Coturnix japonica: one gene and its partner. The protein of the gene in region 1 purifies or fractionates together with the protein of each later gene. This does not show direct contact. Links are inferred from orthologs where the notes say so. Each region holds a gene or a part of one and is shown in the gene's direction. Other genes may lie near its edges.

Evidence for each region.
Region 2: the proteins of ACVR2B (region 1) and INHBA purify together in Homo sapiens (affinity purification with western blotting; 3 studies listed by BioGRID and IntAct, with this or other methods). This does not show direct contact. The link is inferred for Coturnix japonica from reciprocal best matches to the Homo sapiens genes ACVR2B and INHBA.

The regions. Positions count from the first base shown.
Region 1 is NC_029517.1:5,092,659-5,096,474, reverse strand, and holds part of ACVR2B (activin receptor type-2B), read left to right. Parts: intron 1-864; coding exon 865-1,008; intron 1,009-2,021; coding exon 2,022-2,165; intron 2,166-3,024; coding exon 3,025-3,173; intron 3,174-3,816. UniProt on the Homo sapiens protein: Transmembrane serine/threonine kinase activin type-2 receptor forming an activin receptor complex with activin type-1 serine/threonine kinase receptors (ACVR1, ACVR1B or ACVR1c).
Region 2 is NC_029517.1:76,024,586-76,028,501, forward strand, and holds the start of INHBA (inhibin beta A chain), read left to right. Parts: upstream 1-1,155; 5' UTR 1,156-1,261; coding exon 1,262-2,054; intron 2,055-3,916. UniProt on the Homo sapiens protein: Inhibins/activins are involved in regulating a number of diverse functions such as hypothalamic and pituitary hormone secretion, gonadal hormone secretion, germ cell development and maturation, erythroid differentiation, insulin secretion, nerve cell survival, embryonic axial development or bone growth, depending on their subunit composition.

The DNA.
Region 1 (3,816 bases):
TTGAGGTCATCAATGTTTTACAGCCTTAAATAGCTCTTGCTTTGAAAACAGTAGAGAATTCAGGTTTTGCCAGAGGATGACAGGCAGAAGTTTGACACACAAAGTGACACTTGGAGGCATAGACTGTTATATATGTTCCATACAAATACCTCACAAAGCAAAACAGGGAATTTTGTGCTGCTCTCACTGTGAGCTGCATATCAATAATTTGTGATTAACAGTATGGTGACCTTGCTCCCTTCCCTGAGGGACATAAAGAGCACTCTCAGACATAGGGTTTGGATTTTGGTTTGTCCTGTGTGGATCCAGGAGCTGGACTCAATGATTCTTGTTGGTCCCATCCAACTTGGGATATTCCATAATCCTTTGCACTTTTTGCCACACACCACCTCTTCATTCCCCTATAAATACAGGCTGAGGTAGCTGGGCTTGTTCAGCCTGCAGAAGAGAAGGTTGCCAGGTGACCCCATTGCAGCCTCCCAGTACAAGGGAGCCTACAAACAGGAGGGGAGCCAGCTCTTTACAAGGGTAGATAATAGTAGGAAAAGGGAAAATGGTTTTAAGTTGAAGGTGGGGAGGTTTAGGTTGGATATCAGGATGAAGTTCTTTACAGAAGGAGTGGTGAGATGCTGGAACAAGGTGCCTAGAGAGGTTGTGGATGTCCCATCCCTGGAGATGTTCAAGGCCCTGGGCAGCCTGGTCTAATATTGAATGTGGAGGTTGGTGGCCCTGCATTGTGGCAGGGAAGTTGGAGCTTCATGATCCTTGAAGTCCCTTCCAACCCAAGTAATTCTGTGATTCTTTGATTCCCCTGCTTTGTTTTATGGTCCTGCTACAGCTTATGACTGTTGTTCTTCTGTGCAGGACCCCGGCCCACCACCTCCTTCTCCTTTGGTTGGCCTAAAACCTTTACAGCTCCTGGAGATCAAAGCCAGGGGACGCTTCGGCTGCGTGTGGAAGGCTCAGCTGATGAATGACTACGTAGCAGTGAAAATCTTCCCAATTCAGGTGAGAAGGGCATCACCCTCAGGCTCACTCACAGGGTTGCCGTGCCAGTGTTGAGATGCTCTGAGTGCCCATGGAGGTGTTGTCATTACTATTACAAAGACTGGAGGCAATAGTTAAGGACCTCGCCTATCCTTTTCTATGTGATATCTCATTACCAAATGCTTCCTGAAGTAGTTGTTGCAAGAAGGGCAAACAAGCACATTTTGAATCTTCAAGTTTTTAACACTGCTGCAAACAGTGCTGTCAGAAATCGGACTGCAGTGCTTGAAGTGCACACAGAGGACCAAATGCTCAGCCTTGTGTGTCCTATCCAGGAAGGCTGTAAACCCAGACCCCCCAACCTAGCAAACACTTTATTACTCACAGAGATGTAACCCCGGTGCTGTGCAAGCTCACTGCACTTCAGTGTGTCTGTCAGCTCAAATCTTCTACTTCAAAAAACCTTTGAATGCTCCTGGCTTGACTCTTTAGGAATTGCAAATAAAAGGAGTTGAGCAATCAAAAGTCAAATGAGAGCGGAATGACTGAAACATCTTTGTGCTCTTCCGCAGTCTCCTTATTCGTTAATTTTTTTCTCCCTGTATTTGTTGTCATAGCATTGCTAAAGGAGATTTGCACATCTTCTGTCCGTGCCAGCTGTGACCTACTAGTAAATATTCAATACAGTCTAGATTGGATTTGCAGTCGTAACAATTTGCTGTGTGCACAGGCTTTATTCCTGACTGCTTTCTTAGAAAATCTTGAGAAAGCTTATTTCTCAGTGAGGTTGGGTTTGGATCCCTCCCCCCTGCCCAAACATGAGCTTTAGGAGAATTTTGGAGAAGGGAGATTGGGAACAATGACTTCCATTCTTCTTCTTCTAGCATCTACCCTGTAGGAAAATAGCCTCATTTCAAAGGGGAGCATCACATCTTAAGGCTGAGGGATGTATTGAGAGGGATGCAAGCAGCTGAAGGAGCTGTTTGCTTTAAAGGGAAGTGTGATCTTCGATGGTGTGTTTCTCTCTGCTTTAGGATAAGCAATCTTGGCAGAGTGAGAGGGAGATTTTCAATACTCCTGGCATGAAGCATGAAAACCTTTTGCAATTTATCGCAGCAGAGAAAAGAGGAACAAACCTAGAGACAGAGCTCTGGCTGATCACAGCATTCCACGACAAGGTAACATATCGTTGCACATTCATTTGGGGGTGGCACAGGGGTGGCTGGCTATGAAGCACAGTATTTGGTGGCTGATATTCTCCCAGAAGCTCCCCCAGTTGGTCTCCCCTTCAGCAATGGCCCTTCCTTTAGCCTTCAAGGCTTTCCTGCACAAACATTGGATTAAGAAAGGTGGGACCTGGGGAGAGGGAGGTGGCGCAATAGGCTGCACACAGCTCACGTATGCTGTGCTTGCCATCTCATAACATGTGGAGATGAGCCAGGGAGAGCTGGAGGCTGGGGCCACTGCATTCCCAACCCAGCCCTTGCAGATAGGCTCCGTGTTTGTTTTTGAAGCTCAGGGCATACCTCCTCTGTCTTGAATTGCTTTAGTTATCAAACATGACTAAGGCTCAAAATAAAACAAACACACACAAACCAGGGGTTGAGCCGGCAGCATTATCCCTCTATTTAATCCAAGGTCTACTGAGTCAATCATTTCCACTACCAGTTGATATGATGCAACATCTTCTTGCATGCAGATATTTCTTCTTTTCTAGCTTGTATGACTTGCTCTTTTTGTGATGACTTTGTCCCTTCCTTCACCAGCCTCCCAAGCAGATGAATGGATTGGGACACAGTTTAGATATCCATATACTTTTTGTGCTGTCGCGGGCCAAGGACTCATGAATGCTTCTGGGTTTTAATTCTTCTTTTTCTTTCTTTTTTTTTTTTAACATTTGCTAGTTATATTTTTTGCCTGTTAAATGAAGGTTCACATTTCTCAAGCACTCATTAAAACTAAATGAAACCGATGAGTCTGCACATCTGTCACATAGCAATGGCTGTGATTAAGAATGTACAATGTCCTGTTTTGCAGGGCTCTCTCACGGATTACCTGAAGGGCAATATCATCAGCTGGAACGAGCTCTGCCATGTTGCAGAAACCATGGCCCGTGGCTTGTCTTACCTCCATGAGGACGTCCCATGGTGCAAGGGTGAAGGACACAAACCTGCTATAGCACACAGGTACAGCCTCTTTCCTTAATGCTTTTCAGGTGCCGTGTTCAAATGTTTATGACCTCTTTGAAACGATGCTGTGGAATAGAGAAGGAGGTTGTGCTTTGGGGAAGTAAATGCCTTTTATCCAAACAAATCCTGTGCTAAGACAGGAGGGTTTTTTACCCACATCTGAAATGGAAAAGGGCTAGTAATCAGTGTTTTGCCTGTGAAATACTAAGTGTGGCTGGTGGTGGTTTATGGCACACATCTGAAGGGTGGGGACTTCTCTCGGCCCTCACGCTGTCTTGATATGTGTTGGAGAGGGGAACCTGGTTGCTGCAGAACCTCCCTTGGAAGGGGCTGTGCTTCATAAATCACAACGTAGAATCACAGAACAACTTAAGGATATCTGGTTCCATCCCCACTGCCATTGACAGGGTTGCCACTCACCACATCAGTGCCCAGGGCCCCATCCAGCCTGGCCTTGAGCACCACCAGGGAGTGGGCATCCACAGCTTCTTCGAGCAACCTGACAACTTCACTGGGCAACCAATACATGTATTTACGGAGTATGTTATTTCCTATGTTTGTAAGACTGATAACTCCATCCTCACTGCAACCGTGCTTGTTGTAGCCCTCTGTAACCCTGCATCCTTCTCTTGCCTTGAGG
Region 2 (3,916 bases), about 71 Mb from region 1:
TGTGTGTGTGAGAGAGAGAGAGAGAGGGAGAATGAAAGAAGGTAAATACCAAAGAAGCAGAAGCTCTGAGAAAATCAGAAAAAGTTCAAGTCCAGCGTGAAAGAACCTCAGAAGTTAAACTCCATCAGCTGTAGTTTTCTCAGTTTCTGTTACGAACTCCAAGTGTGAAGGAGTTTGTTAGCTTTATCCTCGCTAAGTAAGGTGGAGAATGGAGATGCTGCTGAAGTTAAAGGCAATGTGAAGCCTTAACAGAGACTTCCCATTGCAGGGCAGAAGCCTTACTGGAATAAACTGCTAAGGTTCTGCTGACATGGACTGGAACTCTGGCTCCTAGCAGTGCTTTAAGATTGCATTTCACTCATTATGTCTTGATCTAATATTACGATTGTGTAGTTTAAATGGATGAAACAAAAAGTTCCTTCGAATAACAATGGGCCAAATGTAGAAGATCTTACTCAGTCTTCACTCAGACAGAATTATTATTGGCACTGATGAGGGATTTGCTTGAGTCAGGAGCAAGTACGATTTGGCCAGATGACATGTAATATGTTCCGTCTTCAAAGCATTTTTCAGACATTACTTGATTATTCCCAAACCTAAATAGGAACTTCTAGGCACAGACTAGCATAGTAGCAGGGATGTTTTTGGTTCCTGAGTAGTACCTTTGCATGTCACAGACCTGTGCCCTACCAGCTCCTCCTGCTCTCAGTGCCTGGCTTGCATTCTGCAGCTGGAGAGAGTATCAAGTATAATAGAGCCCTCCAAACAACAGGATTATTTTGTTTCTGTCAGATCTCCTGCCAGTGTTGATAACCTCCAGCATTTACAAGTGAGCAGAAAAGATCTTTTCTACTCAAGGCAGAATAGCATTCTACCCAAAATATTCTCAGCCCCTGCCATCATCCCGGTCTTGTTCACAAGCTATTTAAGATCTCCTGCTAACCCTAACAATACCATACAGGACAAGAGCAAGGTGCTCATTAATAAAAGGTTTCATTCTTCATTCATTCATGTTTCCTCTGTTTAGTTAAGCCAGAGATACTGTTGAAGGAATAAAACAAACAAAAAAAAACACCAAACCAAACCAAACAAAACAAAAAAAAAGAAAAAAAAAGGAGGGGGGACGACAGCCAGGAGGGAGCCCCAGGAGGGTCAAACTGGGAAAAAGGAAGAGTAAATTTACAGGAATTAAGAGATTTTACACAGGAGGGCAGAAAGCCTGAGTAGTGATATTTGAAGAGAGGTGTGTGTTAGAGGAGCAATGAGCATAAGGAAGCCAGCCTGCCTGTTCCTCCCCCTTCCTAATCATAGCCTTTACTCACAGACAAAACTCCCTCCCTCTCCCATTCACTCACTCACTTTAGGCCAATCCGTCCTCTCCCTCTCTCTCCCTCTCTCTGTGTCTCTCTCCTACTCTGAGACAGAGTCAGAACTCTTCTCCCTGACAGCCACTAACATCTACAGCACTTATTGCATTCAGAGAGGGAACCTGCAAACAAAACTTCACAGAAAACTTTTGGTTCTTGTTCCAGAGAATTTGCTGAAGAGAAAGAAAAACAAACAAACAAACAAACAACACAAACCAGCCCCCAAAAAAACTGTGCGTGAAGGGGGAGGAAAAGCAGGGCCTTTTAAAAAGGGAATCACAACAACTTTTGCTGCCAGGATGCCTTTGCTTTGGAAGAGAGGATTTTTGTTGGTGATTTGCTGGATTATAGTGAGGAGTTCCCCAACCCCAGGATCCGAGGGGCACAGTTCAGTCACTGACTGTCCATCATGTGCCCTCACCACGCTCTCGAAGGATGTGCCCAGCTCACAGCCTGAGATGGTGGAAGCAGTAAAGAGGCACATACTGAACATGTTGCACTTGAGGGACAGACCTAACATCACCCAGCCGGTGCCCAAGGCAGCACTTTTAAATGCCATCAAGAAACTCCATGTGGGAAAGGTGGGAGACGATGGCTATGTGGAAATAGAGGATGATGTTGGAAGAAGAGCAGAAATGAATGAAGTTGTGGAACAAACCTCAGAAATCATCACTTTTGCAGAATCAGGTGAGTGCTTAAAAACAAAGCAGTAAAACAGCCTATTTATCAGAACTGCAATTAACTTCTCTGTAGCAGTACTGCTTTATGCGAGGTTGTGAGATGAGACCTGGGGGAAGGGAGAAGGACGAATGGGGTGGGGTGGGGGGTGGAGGGGTGACGGGGACTCTGAAGGAATTTGATTTTTCTGATTTAGTCTTGCCTGCAGATTGCACTTGCTAGTCACAGGCAGACGCGCAGGGAAGAAGCTCTTTAACCCATCTCAAGCAGAAAGTCAGGCTGCAAAGGGGTGCTCCAAACTGCTTCTGAAACCAAAGTACTTGCACTAAAGTACTGGATTGCAGTGCTGATGGTGAAAGAAAAAGGGCTCAAGGCATTTGGGGATTTTCTAAGGACAGAAAAGTAAGCTGCAAACTACTTGAGAAACTGCCCTTTAAAAATTACAGTGGAAGTTATAAAATCAGATGAGCCAGCTTTAACTTTTAGAAGTGAGAGGGCTTTTTTGTTTTCTAATTTAACACAGCATCTTCGGCAATAAAGAGTTGCAGGGACTGTCAGATGACTTCAATAGAATTGGACAAGTTGCTGTAGCTGATCCAATTTGTAATGCAGACTTCTGCATGATGGAAAAAAAAATTCTGCTCCTAAACTGCTTCTGCCAAAAAGAAAAAAGAAAAAAGAAAAAAAAAAGCAACTTTGATAGTTTATATTTTGAACTTTTTCACAGTTCTGTTTTTTCCTAACTCTTGTATAGTAAGGGTTAAGAATATAGATATTTATTAACTAATGGCTAAGGCTCACATCAACTGCCTATCAGAAACAGCTTTAAAGTTGTAGTTTACTGTCTTATTCCTACACGAATAGGACAAAAACTCATTTTAAATCAGTGGATGTGTATGTGCATATGTATCTGTTTGCATATATATGTTTATGCATGCATCAATGTCAATATCCTGCAAAAACTCTATCATCTAACAGCAACTTTTTATGATGCTGTCTAGCCAAAGCATTTTTCCTGTTGCCAAGACAGTTTTAAAAGAATGTCATTGTTTTGTTTGGTACAGCATATGGTAGGCAAAGTATGCAAAGGAACACCAAACATTTTTGTTTAAAAGTTTGCTGCAGCAGTATAAACAATTAAGACAACACTCAGAGTTTCCAGTCCTGAAAACCTGTTGACTCAGATGTTCTGTTTGCAGGGAAGCCATGCATAAGAAGTGTGCATGCTTTTAAGATCAGACATTCCTGCTGCCTGTCCAATTTCCAACTGCACAGGGACCCCTCGCCTTCGGTGTTCTTGTCAATACACACATTATCAGTCCCTTCAGCATGCAAGCTCAGGCTTTTTTTCTTTTTTCTTTCTTTCTTTCTTTCTTTCTTTCTTTCTTTCTTTCTTTCTTTCTTTCTTTCTTTCTTTCTTTCTTTCTTTCTTTCTTTCTTTCTTTTTTTTNTTTTTTTTTTTTTTTTTTTTTTTTCCATCCCCACCACTTCAGAAAGCAGGCAGACATCAGTGCCAGAGGTCCCCAGAACCAGGGGTGGCTCAACCTTAGTTTAGAAATGAGCTTTTAAAAGCAGCGAAATCTCTACGAGTCAGATTCCCCACCTGGTATTCAGCAGCTCATTCTGAAACATATATGGCATGAGCAGTGGTTTCTCGTCCCTGTGTGAGTCCCAATCATTTGTAAACACATTATTGTCTCTCCTGAGCTCTCACACAAAGGAATTTGGAATTTGATATATGCCCACTCAGTACGACATTCTCCAACGGCGGCTCTTGAAGCCAATGGCTCCCAGGGCCACGTGAGCAGAGAAAATCATGCCCAAGCCCACAGGCTGGCCAATAGTTCAGCCACTAATCCCCCTGCTGCAAC